5 linked regions of the Kluyveromyces lactis genome follow. The protein of the gene in region 2 interacts with the protein of the main gene of each other region in a pairwise test. Links are inferred from orthologs where the notes say so. Each region holds a gene or a part of one and is shown on either strand. Other genes may lie near its edges.

Evidence for each region.
Region 1: the proteins of SPC19 (region 2) and KLLA0_C01650g interact in a two-hybrid assay, tested with the Saccharomyces cerevisiae proteins (2 studies listed by BioGRID). The link is inferred for Kluyveromyces lactis from reciprocal best matches to the Saccharomyces cerevisiae genes SPC19 and GIN4.
Region 3: the proteins of SPC19 (region 2) and COY1 interact in a two-hybrid assay, tested with the Saccharomyces cerevisiae proteins (2 studies listed by BioGRID). The link is inferred for Kluyveromyces lactis from reciprocal best matches to the Saccharomyces cerevisiae genes SPC19 and COY1.
Region 4: the proteins of SPC19 (region 2) and NUM1 interact in a two-hybrid assay, tested with the Saccharomyces cerevisiae proteins (2 studies listed by BioGRID). The link is inferred for Kluyveromyces lactis from reciprocal best matches to the Saccharomyces cerevisiae genes SPC19 and NUM1.
Region 5: the proteins of SPC19 (region 2) and END3 interact in a two-hybrid assay, tested with the Saccharomyces cerevisiae proteins (2 studies listed by BioGRID). The link is inferred for Kluyveromyces lactis from reciprocal best matches to the Saccharomyces cerevisiae genes SPC19 and END3.

The regions. Positions count from the first base shown.
Region 1 is NC_006039.1:126,654-130,921, forward strand, and holds the start of KLLA0_C01650g (uncharacterized protein), read left to right. Parts: upstream 1-1,465; coding exon 1,466-4,268. Other genes in the region: SUMO family protein SMT3, read left to right, coding at 289-570. UniProt on the Saccharomyces cerevisiae protein: Serine/threonine-protein kinase which regulates the localization and the function of the septins during mitosis. Phosphorylates SHS1.
Region 2 is NC_006040.1:1,585,058-1,587,356, forward strand, and holds SPC19 (Spc19p), read left to right. Parts: upstream 1-1,335; coding exon 1,336-1,797; downstream 1,798-2,299. Other genes in the region: KLLA0_D18799g (uncharacterized protein), read right to left, coding at 1-990; RAV2 (Rav2p), read right to left, coding at 1,832-2,299. UniProt on the Saccharomyces cerevisiae protein: Component of the DASH complex that connects microtubules with kinetochores and couples microtubule depolymerisation to chromosome movement; it is involved in retrieving kinetochores to the spindle poles before their re-orientation on the spindle in early mitosis and allows microtubule depolymerization to pull chromosomes apart and resist detachment during anaphase.
Region 3 is NC_006037.1:577,582-581,323, forward strand, and holds COY1 (CCAAT displacement transcription factor COY1), read right to left. Parts: upstream 2,477-3,742; coding exon 509-2,476; downstream 1-508. Other genes in the region: KLLA0_A06336g (60S ribosomal protein uL22), read left to right, coding at 24-269; SWI3 (Swi3p), read right to left, coding at 2,816-3,742. UniProt on the Saccharomyces cerevisiae protein: May be involved in intra-Golgi transport.
Region 4 is NC_006040.1:1,402,694-1,407,013, reverse strand, and holds part of NUM1 (Num1p), read right to left. Parts: coding exon 1-4,320. UniProt on the Saccharomyces cerevisiae protein: Controls nuclear migration. NUM1 specifically controls the interaction of the bud neck cytoskeleton with the pre-divisional G2 nucleus. Functions in dynein-anchoring.
Region 5 is NC_006039.1:982,972-985,761, reverse strand, and holds END3 (End3p), read right to left. Parts: upstream 1,646-2,790; coding exon 503-1,645; downstream 1-502. Other genes in the region: chaperonin-containing T-complex subunit CCT2, read left to right, coding at 1-352; AXL2 (Axl2p), read left to right, coding at 2,756-2,790. UniProt on the Saccharomyces cerevisiae protein: Component of the PAN1 actin cytoskeleton-regulatory complex required for the internalization of endosomes during actin-coupled endocytosis. The complex links the site of endocytosis to the cell membrane-associated actin cytoskeleton.

The sequences.
Region 1 (4,268 bases), on a different chromosome or scaffold from region 2:
TGGGTCGTTACCCTTCCCTCCCCTAACTTCTCATTTTCATGCTCTCAAAAGGAAGAAGGAAACTGCTTTTTGTTAGAGCTCTTTTCCATGTCAGTTGACAGTCGAATTTCAGGACTACAGTATTTTTTTTTTTTGGCCAGGAATTAGTTCAACAATACAAATTACCTTAACAAACAAAAGCTCAATCTATACTGCCGAGAGTTAGAAGAAGAAAAAGCGAGTCTTTAAACATTCATTGAATCCTGTTTCTCCATTCTTCAACGCCTATATATATAACCACAGTTTGAAATGTCAGAAGAACAAGAACAAAAGGTGGATGTTAAGCCAGAAACACATATTAACTTGAAGGTTTCGGATGGATCCAGTGAGATCTTCTTCAAGATCAAAAAGACCACTCCATTAAAAAGATTAATGGAGGCATTTGCTAAGAGACAAGGTAAAGAGATTGAATCCCTAAGATTCCTTTACGACGGTGTGCGTGTGTTACCAGATCAGACCCCTGAAGATTTGGACATGGAAGATAACGATATCATTGAAGCTCACAGAGAGCAAATTGGTGGTAGTTTGTAATTGGGAGTGTACTTTGCAGCAGTAAGTGGGATCAACTACAGCATTCCCATCCTTTTTTATCTTTCAATGTAACCTATCTAATGTTATAATAACTGACTATGTATCTGGAATATTAAAACTACTTTGGATGAACAACAAGAAAAGTGCCCGCAAGCTTATCTGCATTTCCCCAGGGAAAACAGTCGGTATGGAATTAGAAATGAAATCCGAATGGAAAGAAAAAAGAGATTGGGTATCAAATGGCAGGGCTTATAACAGACCTCCTGCAAATTACCACCCTTGTATTCCTATTTCGATTCGAAAAGCTAGGTTTGCTTCAAGTTTCGCGTTTTTAGGTCTTTTTTTTTTCAAGTCATTTTCCTTCCTAGTATGGTGAACATTCTTTTCAATTAGTATAACTGTTACAGTAAATGATTTTAGAAAGAATAATTTACCAGAAGTGGAAGAAATATTAGCTGTCTTGTTAATAGTTTTCTGCCACACTCGTTTTGAATTTGGTAGGTTTTTTCTTCCATTGTTATTTGGCATACATATATACCAAGACGTGAAGTTTAATTGTGTTTTTCTTTGGTGAAAATTGTACCTGAGGGAAATACTGAGAAATTGAGACAAGGCTCATCACATAAAACTGGAAGTAGATTAAACCATAAAAGTTATCGTGAAAAAAATAATTTCAATTCACTTCAACCATCTTCAACCACGACCAATTGAATTCACTAGACGGTACCAGATATCAGACATAGAGAGTTATTTATCTAGGCAAGCGAATCTCACTCTGATAAAAACGATATATTACACCACATTCATTCTCATAAGAAATTATCATTCAAACCTTTACGCGACTGGGGAACATTATAACTTGTAGCTTGGCCAATACTATCACAATATATCAGAAATGAACGGTAACGGAATAACGACGTTAAAGGGTGACACAATTGGCCCGTGGAAGTTGGGCTCGACACTGGGTGTTGGCTCAACAGGTAAAGTCGTAATGGCCTATAATGAAACTAAAGGACAACAAGCCGCTGTGAAAATTATATCAAAATCAATATTCAACGCTCAAGGGTCGACAATGATTGGTGGTAACGATCCTGATGTCTTACCCTATGGTATTGAACGTGAAATTATCATTATGAAGTTGTTGAATCATCCTAATGTCTTGAGATTATACGATGTTTGGGAAACTTCAAAAGATTTATATATGGTTTTAGAGTACGTTGAAAAAGGTGAGTTATTCAACTTGTTGGTGGAAAGGGGCCCATTACCTGAGAATGAGGCAGTCAGATTTTTCAGACAGATAATTATCGGTATTTCTTACTGCCATGCGTTAGGTATAGTTCATCGTGATTTGAAGCCTGAAAATCTTTTATTAGACCATAAATTCAATGTCAAACTAGCCGATTTCGGTATGGCAGCACTAGAATCAAAAGATAAATTACTGGAAACTAGTTGTGGTTCGCCTCATTACGCGGCACCCGAAATTGTCTCGGGCTTGCCATATCACGGTTTTGAATCCGATGTTTGGTCATGTGGTGTTATTCTTTACGCTTTACTGACCGGTAGGTTGCCATTTGATGAAGAAGATGGCAATATCAGAAATCTCTTGTTAAAGGTTCAAAGTGGGAAATTTGAAATGCCTGGAGATGATGAAATATCATCGGAAGCCCAAGATTTAATCGCCAGAATCTTAACAGTAGATCCAGAACAAAGAATCAAGACAAGAGAGATCCTAAAGCATCCACTTCTAAGAAAATACCCAAGCATTAAGGACTCTAAATCCATTAGAAACTTACCTCGAGAAGATACCTATTTGAATCCACTATCATTAGAAGGAGGAAATCAATGCGTAGATGAAACTATTTTGCAGAATTTGGTTGTTCTATGGCATGGTAGAAATAAGGAAGACATTATTACGAAGTTGATGGAACCTGGTGCTAATTTAGAAAAGACTTTTTACGCTTTACTGCATAGATTTAAACACGATAATTACCAAGATCAATTGAAGCAACAAGAATTACAAAAGAAACAATCTGTCTCTTCGAATTCGCTGATGTACGTTGGATCTTTACCATCTCCTAATAAATCTGATTCCCCAGTCACCACTCCAAAGAAGAAAAGAACATCAATCATAGTTGCCTCATCTTCTCACAAAAGACCTGTATCAATGCAAAAACTGAGTAGCCAACATAGCTCACCAGTGAAAAACGGCTCAATAGGTAAACGTTTGAGTAAGACTTTCCCTTCAAACAAGAGAATTTCACAGCTAGTCTCCAATTCGTCTTCTCCAACCCCTGCTGCTCATAAAAGAGTTTCCAGGATAAACGATAGTGCAGCTCCACCCGTCCCTAAAGAAATGCTTCGTGACTACAAAAGACAATCAAAGAGACAATCCAAAAGATTCTCTCTACTGCCTAATATGAAGCGTGGATCTATAACAACGAAACTGATTGCAACGTATGCAAAACTTTCCGAAGACAGTGAATGGGAATACATCGAAAAGGAAACGAAAAGGACAAGTCAGGACTTTGCTACATTGATGGATCAGATTTTCGAGCATGAGAAATACGAACAAATACGGAAAGAGAAGGAAGAGTTGGAAAGAAAAGTCAACGAAGCTCGTGAGAAGGAGGAAGCTGAAAGAAAGGAACGGGAAAGGATCGAGCGGGAGGAGCAAGAAAGACTTGAAAGAGAAGAACGAAAGCGAGCTGAAAGACAGAAGGAATTGCAAGACCAAATGGAAGACGAAATTGCTAAGCTCAAGGCGGAATATGAAGCTGTTCAGGGGAGCTCGGATGAAAGAAACACAGCCAATGGAAGATCTGTCTCTGCTCCGATAGAGACCGATAGAACTGCAAACAAAAGAGATAGTACATTCGGTATAAAGAATGACATCAATGAACTAATCAATACAAGAAACTTCTCTCTACAAACGAGACCAGTTTCCAGACTTGACCCTGGTATCATAGCTGCTGAAAGTAGACTGTCAGCTAACCTAGAAGATGACCAAGCGTCAAAGGAAAAGACTATTCTGGAAACCATTAGACGCTCCAAATTCCTTGGATCGCAATTTAACTTGAACGTTGAATTAGAGAAAGCCCAAAAGGATTTAGTATCTAAAGAGAGACAAGAACAATTGAGAAAGTACTCTGAACAGACTGCAAAGTACGAGGTTCAAAAGTTACCCAAGAATGCTAAAGCAGTTGCAACTCTCAGAGATGACGAAGTTGAACCCAGAAAGCTCTCAGAAGTCAAAGTTCCACAATTTACAAGGAGGTCAAAACATTTCTCTTCCTCTAACAAAAGATTTTCTGTATTGTCACTGTATTCAACTAAGACTTCATTCACGAACCTTGTGGATCATTTGAAGAACGATAATTATCTTGAACCTCTACCTGGCCAACCTGAATACTCATCATCCAAGGTTGCACAGGAACCAGAATTCATGTTTGAGACCGTTGAAGAGCTTGATGAAAATTCTAAGCTGTTCGAAGTACCAGAAACAGAGGAAGGAAAACTAGCTTCTGCCGCCAGAAAGGAATCTACTGATGCCAGAAAACAAAGTACTAATGATAAGGATATTAACTTGCCGTCGTTACCTCCATTGCAGGTATCTCATGACGTAGCCGACGAGAATGGAGCATTAGGGCTTGGCATTTACCAGCCAAACGATCAGACACAAAAGCCCCACAAAACAATGC
Region 2 (2,299 bases):
TTTCATCTTTGATAGATATTCAAGCTTTGTAATATAATTAACGATGAAATTGTCAATCGATTTCAACTTTTCATATTCCAACTTTTCAAGTGTTAGATCTGTCACTAAGGTCTTGATGATATTAATCAAATTCGGACTTGTTCCGATAGAATTGTTTATAAATATTCCACTCAATATTTCCGTTTCAGACCCCAATACAGCATCTTCGAGGTCAAGATTATTTACATCTCCGAACATGGCGGCTTCGAACGCAGCTTTTTGAGCAGTTGTTATCGTGACCATTGGGTCTGGAATCCCATTGTTTGCAGGTGTACTCCTGAAATCTCGTTTATTTGATACTAGTAGTTTATCGTTTTCGCCAATCAACGGTATCACTGAAATGTCCTCCACTAATGCACTTATTTTACGATGTTCAAGCTTTGTGTCTATATCCGTCCCTAAATCTATCACATCCCCCACTTTGATTTCAACATCAGTTTGACCGATCCTACTACCATTCACGAAAGTACCATTAGATGATTTCAGATCACGTATACATATTTTACCAGTTTTAGCATCACACGATAACGATGCATGGTTTCTTGAAAGCACTCTAGAATCAAAATTTCCATTATCAGCTTTCACCTGTGGATCAGCTTTGCCGGAAAGTCCTCCGTTACTTCCAGAATTTGAAGCTCCAATGACAGGTCGTCCCAATTTTAGTCCACTGGGCTTGAATGGAACTACTAAGAATTTAGTCTCAAATGTGTTGTTCAACGATTTTAGAACCAAAACATGTGTGTATTTGTTTCTGGCCTGTGTTCTCTCATCTTCAGCGGAAGTCAGTTTATTAAGAGCGTCATTACTTGAATTCAAACAGTTGTCATTCGAAGAACCGTTGCTGCTTGAGTTGGAACGAGCTCTTCTTCCTTTTGTTTTTGATGTGCTTGTGTTATCGTTACTCTGGTTTGCTGAAAGAGGATCCAATCGACTTCCTTGTTTCTCAGTCATATTCACTGCTTATAAGAACCCAATTAAACCATATGCAAAAAAAGGTAGTGCAAAGTGCAAGTTCTTATTCGGCTTCTGATTCACTTCAATGGAGAGACTGCCTCGTAGCAAATACTGCTGAAGCTGCTTTACCACTTCTGTGAAGATAATACTAAAATCATGAAACTGAGAAAAGAATGGACTTAATTTCAATCACAATTATTTTAATTCACCACATAGAAAAGAGGTAAACAAACATTACGCAACATACACATGAAAACACAACACTTCACATAGATCGGCAGGATTGTAATTGGATAACGCACTGTGATAATTTGGCATTGTTATTTGAGCTGATTTGACACAATGGAAGAGGTACTTTCGGAGGGTGTAGATGCTTTAGCAGCATGTGTCGATGACATGGCGAAATGTTTAACCGTATCTAAGGTCACTACAGATAGAAGCACTAAACTTGCTATAAATATGCTACAAACTAAGAGGGTATTCCAGTTGGTATCAGAATATGATGTGCAGAGGGCCAGACTTGATTTGATGGAGGATATAGAACCATTGTTACAAAAACTATATAGTAAACTGGAAAAAGCTCTAACCAAATTGGAAAGGGAGCGGGCCACTCTATCACAAACATTCGAATTGAATAAACTACGATTCAACAATCAAGAAAGTAACCCCATCATAGATAATGTGAAATCGGATCCAGTTGTAATAGTATCCTCGACACATGAAGAATTGGAACGTCTCAAAGACTTAAAGAATCGTAAAGAAGAACTGATACAAAGAATACAGGAATTGCATGAAGAGAGATAAATAAGCATACGCCGACTCTCTATCTATCGCATTGTTAACTTAAATTTTGAATATTTACAAAGTGATTGCTGATTTTGTTTTCAAGCCCGTTCAACTTTGCACTGACACTAATCAATGTAGGATCGCTGGTGGTAATTGAAACTTTCTCGCATTCAGTGACAACTCGCCCGTTAAATGTCACACACCTAGCCAATAGATCGCTTGCTTGCGGAAGAGTGATTCTTTCAGTTGCTGAAAAACTGGATATCAAATTGTTTATCATAGATGTTTGTTCAACTTGCAAGCCTTCTTCCTTAAGGATCTCTGCGATTTTTCCATTTCTGTCTTGCTTCAGCCTGTCTCTGACTTTATCACTGAATGATAACCCAGTTTTCGAATCGATCTCACTCCAGGGTTTTTTAATGACTTTTGTCAAATTCCTAATGTCCAAGCAAATCTCGTTTTTGAATAGCACTAATTCCATATTGACCAAATGATGTGCTGATTCACAAATGTCATGAGA
Region 3 (3,742 bases), on a different chromosome or scaffold from region 2:
ATTTCAATTAATCATTTCCACAGGCTAAGGGTTTAGACGCTACCAGATTGTACGTCTCTCACATTCAAGTTAACCAAGCTCCAAAGCAAAGAAGAAGAACCTTCAGAGCTCACGGTAGAATTAACAAATACGAATCTTCTCCATCTCACATCGAATTGGTCGTTACTGAAAAGGAAGAAGCTGTTGAAAAGGCTTCTGAAAAGAAGGTTGCTAGATTGTCCTCCAGACAAAGAGGTAGATTGGCTACTCAAAAGAGAATCACTGCTTAAATTTCCTGGATCTTCCCATCCAAACATTTTCTCAAATAAATATCATAACATTTAAGTAATTTTTTACACAAACCTCTGAGTATACTAATTTAATCAGTCAACATACGTTCCCAAAAGAATACTTCACCTAATTCATTGTAAGGTATTTGCCAGTCCAGGAGACATTCCTGTGAACGATTTACCTGTTTTCATAATTAACTATAAACGGAAATTATACAAAAAAGAATGACCACTGTATCTCACTGATTGGTGTTAATCATACTACCTGATGAGGAGCTAACGTCTGGAGTTATGTAGTTGGTGAAACTTGTGACATATATAGTCATCACCATCACCAATCCATGTAATCCAAGGCAATACAACATGAATAGCATTCTTGTCTGTTTGTTCGCTAGAATAACTTTTGCAAAACTCAAGAATAGTCTTTCCAAGGGTGGCATCTTACGTCGTTCGTATCTTTCTAGCTCTCTTTCTTTGAAACTAGATAATGGATGTAATGACTCCTCATATTCTTCGGAAAATGGAGATTCCAAATCTACTGTATTGCGCACTGCGGAATTGTTCGAATACGAACTTAGTAGCTTTGCCTTCTCGTACAATTTGGAATTATCGGCCTTTAATTCCTTCACTTGTACCTTAAGTTTCGTCTGTTCTTGGTTACAATGCTTTATTTGCCTTTCAAGCTCTAGATTTCTTGAGCGGAATCTGTCTCTCTGTTTGGTGACAATTGGTAGGATAGATGGAGAGCCGTTAAAATTGCCGGAGAAGGTATCTAGTTCTTTTTCTTCTGGTATTCCAATGATTGAGCTTGTAGGAGATAGTTTTTCGTTAGTGGCATGTCTATTACTTATTTGCCTTGTTGCCCCTGACATCATTGATTGTGTATCGGAGAATTGGTTCGTTACATCTTCGACCTTCTCAATGTCTGCTTCTAATTTCGCATTCAAAGTTTCTAGATTTTGAATCTTAGAATATAAAGCTTCTATGCTTTTCTTGAGCGTTTGGGTTTCGTTCATATATTTGTTCTTTTCAGTATTGGCCTTCACCAAATTATTTTGGAGTTTTTGGTTCGCATGTTTCAATGAACTGGTGATAGAGTCATCACCATCATCGTTTTCGTTGTCACTGTCATCACTGGTTCCGAATTCAATCTTCTTCATGGCATTCAATTCTTGCTTTATTTTTTCATAATCTGAGTAGTTCGTTAACTTGCGTCTCAATGTCTCTAATTCCGATTTATAAGTCTGCGTTTCAAGTGCAGATGATTTCAATTGTGAGCTCAACGTTTGGGATGTTTCCTTCAAACTCTTGCGTTCTTCTTCTAAACATGTAACCAATTTAGCATTTTCACTTTCCAATTGGTTCAATTTAGTCTCTTTCTCTTGAAATATGGAATCCTGTTGTTCATCGCTCTTCAATTTGGTTACCTCAGAATTTAATTCTTCATTACGTGATTCAAGACTCATGATACGAATTTGTGCAGCCTCAAGTTCTTGTACCAGAAGCTCACTTTGAGCGCTATTCTTTCCACTAACGAGAACGGTGTCATCATCGCCATCTTCTTGTTGCTCCAAATCGACCTGAGCACCTATTTTCTTTTCCAAGATGCTATTGGTATTTTTCAACGTTTCTAACTGTTTCAATAATTCGTCCTCTCTATTATTCCAATTACGTTGCTTTTCTTCCCATTTGGATGTAATTTCTTTCTCTTTGGCGATTAATCTATTGGATAATGTCTTAGCCGAATTTTGTTCAAGATCCGATAATCTTTTCTTTAAAGTGTCATAATCGGCACACTTGCTAACAATTGCCGCCAATTTTTGGTTTTCAGCTTTGATATCATCGACATTTGTGCCATCTTTCTTCAGTTCCTCTACAATAGACTCTAGGATCCCTGTTGGGTCCGGTTGTTCAATTAACTTCTCATATAATTCGATAACAACCTTTTCGGAGAACGTTGATCTGGTAGTCAACGAATCAATCTCCTTCTGGTATTCTTTCACTAATTTCAAAGATTGGCTAGGTTTCTCATCATCTGGCAATTTCTTGTACTTCTTGGTCTCACTGGCTAACGTTTTTCTTGATTCCAAGGATGAAGTTTCTAAATCCTTTATCTTAGCTATGCTATCATCAAGTAACGATTGTATACTGCTGAAGCCAGCTTCTTTCCACAATGACAACGCATGCTCATATGTAGACAAATTCATCGCAGAACTTGTTACTGGGTCCTTAATAATGCAAATCCGACCTTTACAACGAATACCAGTATCATTCAATTGTTCTGATATTGGGAATATTAAATATCGTATTCGTGTTTAGTTAAAGCTATTTTTTTTGAAGGTTTCCAATATTTTCATATTTTAAAGACAATATAGCATACGGACATAATTCCTGAAGACAAGGTACAAAGGAAAAAACAAGTAGGATTTACTCCAACGAAGATGTTGCATTTGGACAAGGAGAGGCTTGACTTTTTGTGTTGTTTCAATAGTTTAAATTAATATAATGTTACGAGGCTATATAATACATGAATATTGTCTATATTATTAACCTGACCAATAACGATATAACTGCGGTGACTCAATCGATATTGGTTTGTTGGCGGAGTCTAGATCATCAGAATCTTGTAGATTACCCGATTGGGATGTGATACTTGTCTTTGGTGGATCAGCAATTATGGTACGTAATTCGTGTAATTGCTGTTTGATTTCTGGAGATTCCGGAATTTGCTTCAGTAAAGATTCAAATTTTCCCATAAGAGAGTTGGCATACTTGGTGAAGCTTAGCCTTTGAATGAAAACATCTTCTTGCTTCCTATGCACAGCCTTGCGCTCTAGTTCCAAGGATTTTTCCATGGTATCAAGAGCCTTCAACTTCAAATCGACTTTTGTTAGTTGAGTATTGATTAAATCATTTGTCGTCCTATTCATCAATTTTTCTTGGTTGGTAGCGAATACATGAGAGCGTAGCCCCAAGGTAGCTAGAGCGACTTCTGTGCCGTCCTTCACTGTTATTCTAGCATCAGATTCAGCATTTGTGACCGTTACTGCTTGTTCTTCTGGCAGCTCTTGTTTTTCCGATGGTGTTTCCTTGTTTGATAATGCTTCATTCTCTAAAGATTCTTCTTGATGAGGTTCTTCCACTGGAATCGCTTCTTCTTGACTACCTTCCTCTTTATTCTTTTCTTCCGCTTTTTGTAGCCCTTCTTCTCCTGTTTTTTCAGCTCTTACTTCTGTTGCTTCTTTTTCTTCATTCTCTGGTGTATTTGCATTTTTCTCATTTGAAGTGTCAACAGTTACATCTGAATTTGCTACTTGTTCTGCTGCTGGAGCAGTTCCTTCAGTTGCTGTGGAGTGATCTGCGGCATTTGAATTTGCAGGTTCAGATTTTTCAGCTCCCGTTTCTGTATGCTCAATTTCCCTGGCGTCAGTTTTTATTTCTTCTTTTTGTTCTTCTTTTGATTCCTCTGTTTG
Region 4 (4,320 bases), about 180 kb from region 2:
ACATGGATCGTCGACGCTCTCTACACCCATAATAGCTGCCGCTCTGGTTTTGTTGTTCCCTGGGTTCTCAAGCACAGGATTGGACGTAGACCAATACAAGGTTAAAGTGTAAGGATGAACCCAGAAGTATCTTTCATGACGTGAAGATTGGAACAGAGATCCACCTAAACGACGATAGTACTTGTGCAAGTATTCACCAATCATAGTTTGGGTCAATGCTGGGATGATACTTGGAGCGCTGAGGGACGCCATTGTAGCTAAAGATAAACCAGTAGCCATAGACTCGCTGTGTGTAAGCAGTGATGCTTGATTAGTTTGAAGTGAAGGCGACGGACGTTTGATTGAAGAAGATCTTGATGGGGCTCTGGATCTGGTCTGTTGCTCCATTTCGCTCATTGCAGCATTAGCAGCAGCTTCTGACATGGATCTTCTAGCATCCTCTGAAATGACAGACCGAGTCGCCAATGAAGAATTTCTTCTATGCCCCTGAGTAAAGCCATCGCCAAAGTCCTTTCTCAAATTAACGACAACTTGGAAACCACGCTTCTTGGCTTCCGCTTGCAAATTCTCATCAGTAATCTTCGCCCAATTTTCAGACTCTTGATGTAATAGAGAATTATAATATTTGATCGGCAACACAACAACATTATGGACATCTGGAGTATTTGCATTGGATGTGGCGACAAATGCGCTTTCTGGAATACATAGTAAGCCAAATCTCTTAGCAGCTTTGTTTAATTGTTTTATCTCAGAGTCAACGACCTCTGCGTCTTCTTCTTCCTCTTCATCTTCTTCAGAATCAGTGTCATTGTCGTTATCCATCAAATACGAACCCTTCTTCAAACGTTTGTACTCCGTTAAATCTAAAGCTATCAAATTGAAATCAGCGGCATGCTCAACTATTTGTTCCCTGGTCAAGGTTGGCGTCTCCAATTCTTTCTTAATCTGTTCAAACTGCTCAATAGGAATGGGAACAAGACCAAGATCTCGTGCGCGTATCATGAGATCGTCTTTAGAAATACCAATCGCGGTATTTGGATCATACTGGGACACTGGGATAGGCACAAATCCTAATTCTTTAGCTTTCAAAACAACGTCGTCCTCCGTCATACTGTTTCTGCCGGAGGAAGCTAATTCGCGTTGTATTTCTTCAAATTTGTCAGCATCAATCGGTATAATGTTGAGCTCATGGGCTCTTTCTATCAACTCATCCCTAGTCATTGCAACAGAAGCCGCTTGATCCTCGACTTCCAACAGATGGTCATATTCGTCTTTCGAGACAATAACTTTCCCATGTTCTTTCGCCCATTCACTGACAGAGTCATCGTTGAACTTGTTCAAAAGGTCTTCATATATGTCTTTTTCTATAGGAACTAAACCCCAATCTTCACATTTCTGTTTTATGTCTGTAACTGTCAACGGTTTTTTGAGGGCACTGTATTCTAAAACTGGTAGCGTGACGAGTTCTAGTTCTTTGGCCCTTGCTTCCAGTAGCTCGCGAGTCAAAGGCTTTTTAATTTCCTTGTAGTCTTCTTCGGCTAATGTGACAATACCCAGCTTTGACGCTTTTTCCTTGATATCATCAGCACTATCAGGTTTGATAAGCTTCAGGTAGTCATTTGTTGCTACTGGTACGAGGCCATGTTCTCTAGCTTTCTGTTTAATTGTTTCTGTTGAGATTATTGGAGCTGGCGCGATCAATTGAGTAGATTTTTTAACAAGTTGAGAATGTTCAGCTTCAGTTAAAACTATTAAGCCATACTTCTTCGCACTCTCACGAATAGAATCTGGTGTTAACCTCTCTGAAGTGATAAGTTTCTCCATCTCTATAAATTCCTCAGTTGGCACCACAGATAATCCGAATTGCGGTGCAGCAGAGTAAATGATATCCTTTGTCAAATCTTCAGGTGTCAATGATGTAGAGTAATGATTTTGATGACAATCGATATCCTTTTCAATAAGGTTGTAACCTAAAACTTCTGCATGTCTTTGCAAGTCCTCCAATGTCGGTTCATTATCTTTTATCGTTGATGCCAGTGAAACATTATCATTATCAGAACCAAGGAAATCATTGGCATCGGTATAATGAGTGGAAGATGTATGCATGCTTGACTTCGAAGGGCTGTTTCTGAGGTTGAAGGAGCTGCTACTTTGTAGCGCATCATAATAATCAGTGTCACCTGTGCTTACAGAATTGAAACTAACAGTGGAATGGTTCACAGAGGGATGGAGATTTAATGCAGGCCTAGAGCCATAATCGCCGACACGTTGATTATTATGTTTCTCGAGTTCTTCATCTGTGAAATTAACAGGGACCAACTTCAAAGCAAAACGTGAAGCATACAACTGTAAATCGTCATATGTAATATTATCACTATGCGCCTTTCTTTGTAATAAGTTATTATATTCTTCGGAGGGAAGAACAGTGAGATCAAAGGCTTTTGCCCCATTATAAATATCCGTCTTTGTTAATTCGTGCTTTTGTTGATTCTCGAGAAGCCTTTTGTACTCATCGTTTGAAAGTCTTACAAATCCTAATAACTTTCCTGATTCTAATACCACCTCTTTATTTGAATTCTCTTTCTTGATAACATTTTCGAAATATAGCTTGCTTGCTGCGACTTTCGATCTTGGTGACATTGAAGAAACTTCAACCTCTTTTTTCAGTTTTTCAATAAGAGCATCGTATGATTCTTCACTAAGAACAACAAGACCCAATTTCGCTGCAAGTTTTTCAATATCAATTTTGGTGAGAGAAGAGAGTTTTTTGGCCTCGTTTTGTAAATTCTCATATTCCTTGTCACCCAGGAGCTTGTACCCGTATTTTGGCGCGGTCGCTACAACTGATTCTTCAGATGGATTATCAACTTGGGTCTTCAAGAAAGCCAATTCCTCACGGTCAATAACAGTTAGCGCTAATGGTTCGACTAGCTGTTTTACTTTCTCTATCGAAGGAACTGTTAACTCCTTATAGTGTTTTTCAGGTAGAGGAATCAAATCGAACTTTGAACACAGACCTATCACCTCCTGTTTGGAAATTGAATCAACATTTGAGGAATTGAGACTTTTGTAGGTCTCAGCATCAAGTACCACATGACCTTTTTCTGTTATTTGCTTTTGTAGGATGTGCAGGGAAGGATTGGACAAAGAATCATAATCAGCTTCCGGAACAACTACAAGTCCGAGACTTCTCGCACTTCTCTGTAAACCCTGCTCGTCAGTAACTGCTGACATTTGTAACTTATTATGTTCTTCAATCGGTAGTAAAACTTGTTTGTGTTGCTGCGCTTTTTCTTGCAAGAATTCTAAAGATGGACTAGTCAAGTTAAGTTGAAGTTCATTGAACTTTTTCGTGGGAACTACGCTATACCCATTGATGTCGCAAACCTCCTTTGATCTTTTGATTGAAGGGTTATTGATTGCGAGCTGTAGCTCTTCGTACTCGACAGTTGGTAGAACCTTGCATTCAATTCTAGCAGCCAGTTGTTCCACTTCTTTCACCGTAGGTTCGTTTGTTTTTCTTTGCAAATTGTCATATTTCTGTTGATCGATCAAACGTTTGCCAATATTGCTTGCCCTATTTGATAAGTGTGCAATAGAAGGATTTTCATATGAGGTCTTGAGCTCTTCAATAGATTCAATTGGTAACAGGGCGAGTCCAAGAGTTCCAGCCATGTTTTCTAAATATTCTCTAGATGGGTGCTCTAATTTCGATTTCAAGCCCTCCAGTTCATCGAATGGTAACATAGTTTGATGATGAAGTTTAGCCTTCTCCTTCAAAAACGTCAATGAGGGAGAGTCTTTCATAGCCATTAGATTTTCATATTCGTTCAGCTGTACGGGAACCATTTTATAGGTTGAGAGGTGTCTGGATAAATCTTTTAGTTGTGGATTGTTTGATTTGTTTATCAAATCTTCGTAAGACTTACTATCTAAGACCACATGACCATGTTCCTTGACTTTCTTAATCAATTCATCCTCTGAAAGTAGTGCAACTTTCGAGCTTTCCTGTAATTTCTGGTATGCTTCAGCAGCAACAGGCTTTAGATTGTATTTGTCACAGAGTTTAAAAGTTTCATCTTTAGTTACTTTATCTATAACGGGAGCCATTAATTTTGAGTATCCTTCTTTTGAAACTGCAACGTAACCCAATGTTTCCAATCTGTTAGTTAATTGGTCGATGTCAACATTGTCGATTGACTTTTGTTTAAAGGAATTGAAATCTGGCGCAGTGACTGGAACAAATCCAAAATTCTTAATAGATTCGAGTAACATTGTTTTATCACTGCCCTTATGAACTAACTTTTCATACTCTTTCTG
Region 5 (2,790 bases), on a different chromosome or scaffold from region 2:
AGCTGTTGACACAGTAGGGCAAAATGTTGAAGGTAAGAAAGCACTTGCTGTAGAATCTTTTGCAAAAGCCCTAAGACAATTGCCTACTATTCTTGCGGACAACGCTGGTTTCGATAGTAGTGAATTGATCACAAAGTTAAGATCTTCGATTTACAACGGCATGAGTACATCAGGTTTGGATTTGGATAACGGCACCATTGCTGACATGAGAGAACTAGGGATCGTGGAAAGTTATAAATTGAAAAGAGCTGTAGTAACCTCAGCCAGCGAAGCAGCCGAAGTCCTCTTGAGAGTGGATAATATTATCAGGGCTAAACCAAGAACAGCCGATAGACAGCACGGTCATATGTAAATTAATTAAATTAGTACTAAGCAATCACCACAAACGTTTAAATTTCGTTCTAATATCCAAAAAGTTAAGCTAAGAAGTGAATTATCATTATACATGAAACAACGTAGTTCAAAATTTACTCCAGAAAGTATATAGGGTAGGTCAATAACCTCAGTAAAGAGATTGCACCTCTATCTTCAAATTATGCAGTTCCGACTTCTTTGTTTTCAGGTACTCCTCCAACATTTGTACTTGCTGCTCAATACTCTCTATATCATCCCTCAAACCTCCAACATCAACGCTTTCTGAAGAAGTATTGGAATTATTGACAAGGTTTTTTTGGTATTCCAAGAACTGTTCTAACTGTTGTTTTACTAATTTCATTCTATCATTTGAGTCATTATGAGAGGTGGATTGTTGCTGTGCTGACGATAATTCAGAGTCAATATTTGCCAATTCCCTTTGAAGTCTGACTACTTCCCAATCAGTTCCCTGAGTAACAGAAAAATCAGTACCACCACGTTTTGGTATTTGGTAAGATGAAGAGTTAGATGTGGATAGTGTTGGCCTTCTTACTTCGCTCTGCTTGGAAGACAAATCCGTGGAAACTCTAGTCTTTGTAAAAGTTTCTTTCAATGCTGAAGGTAAATGTGATGGTATTGGGCAAGCATAGTCGTTCACTTGTCTCAGAATATGAATAAAGTATAGTGCTGGATCCTTATCTATGGAAGTGTCAAGCTTAGGATTAACCAAACGCCACGTTTTTTCTAAATCTTGAGATGATAGATTGATATACTTCGATCTAACGGCGGAGGATAGTGAAACATAAGATACACTATTGTCTCTAGAGGTTATGGCTGATTCATAAATTGATTCGTATTGTGACTTATCATCTCTTGATATATACCAATCAACTTCTTTTTGATAATCGTCTACAGCTGGCGAAGATGTCGGAACATTGACCACAGAACTTGTTTCTGCTGTTCCGCTACTACGTTCAGTTTTTCTTTGTTTGACTAATTCGGCTTTTGAACCGGGAATCAACCAATCTGGCAATTCATCTGGTACAGAATCTATGTTTTTATTAACCATGTCAAATATCATTCTCATACAAATCACAAACTCTTCAAAATCTAGTTGATCATCATCATCGATATCGGCCAAAAACCATATTTTGTTAAGTATCGAGGTGTCCAATTTAGAATTGAAAAGGATAGGCAGTACTTGATCATGGGTCAACTTATTTTCCACCGGTTTCAATCCGGAGAAAATTTGCCAATACTTTTTGATCTCAAATTGTTCAAGCTTTGGCATCTTAAATTGGTATTTGAATTATCTGTGGAGTCAAGCGCGATTAAAATAGAGGTCAGATATCAAATTAACACTGAGCTCAAACGTAATGTTTTCTTTGAAGTATGCCTGCGTTACTCACAATCAGTCAAAGAGACAGGAACAAATAAAACAAGAATATGTTATACCTGCTATCGCTCTAGCGTGTTCTTCGGTTTGAATCGTTTGGAACCTTATCTACTTCAATAAATTGCAATTTAAACCTTTTGGATAGTTCATCGTATTGATCTTAACAGTAATATCACCCATTTCAGTGCTGAAAGAAAATCAAAATTCCATTGACCTACATTACAAAAAGGGGAAGTCACGTTATACGTAACACACGTGACCTTGAATAATAGTCAAACAACCCCTCACGTGACAAGAATTTGTATCTGTTTTTTTTATATCTTTTTGGTGGATGCTACTGGTTTACCCGGTGTTCGCGTTATATCCTATTTTGGTAACACATTTAGAGAAATCGCGAAATGTTTTAAGGATGCCAAAAGAAGAATTATAAGTGAATCTTCAGAACTTTGAGGTAGGTGAGAATTTGGGGGACCAGAAGTAGAATGTGAGATGAAAAAAGCTAAGACAGGGTTGTAGAGGATTTCGATTGTTTCCAACTGGCCCGTTAGTTTACTGAGAAGTAATACCAAAATATAATAATGGTTTTTCCTGTCTTGCAACTGTGATATTTTTGGTGTCTTTCAATTAATATTCATATATTTCACGAGATGAGGGCTCCCGCCTTAAATAAAACAAGATGTATTCTCAGGGCCCATTCGTTTCTTCCTCATCTTAACGGTTCTGCAATCCAGTAACGCTTTTACGTTATACTATCCATTAACTTTTGAGATAGAAGGAGCAGCACTAACTGTCCGATCGCTACGTTGTTCATTGATCCATTCATTCACTCCTTGACAGCCTTCATCTGAAAGCAATAGCAGAGAGAGAATTAAGAGCTCAAGAAACGCATACAAGGAAAATTGGAACTAAGTTTACTCATAGTTGTTCAACTGGACTTTAGTTTTTAATTTGGAATAAGAGAAATTACACGAACGGAAATTAGTTCATTATACAGGGTTTAGGGTTATGAAGACTGAGTTGCTGTTGTCTTCGGCGCTGTC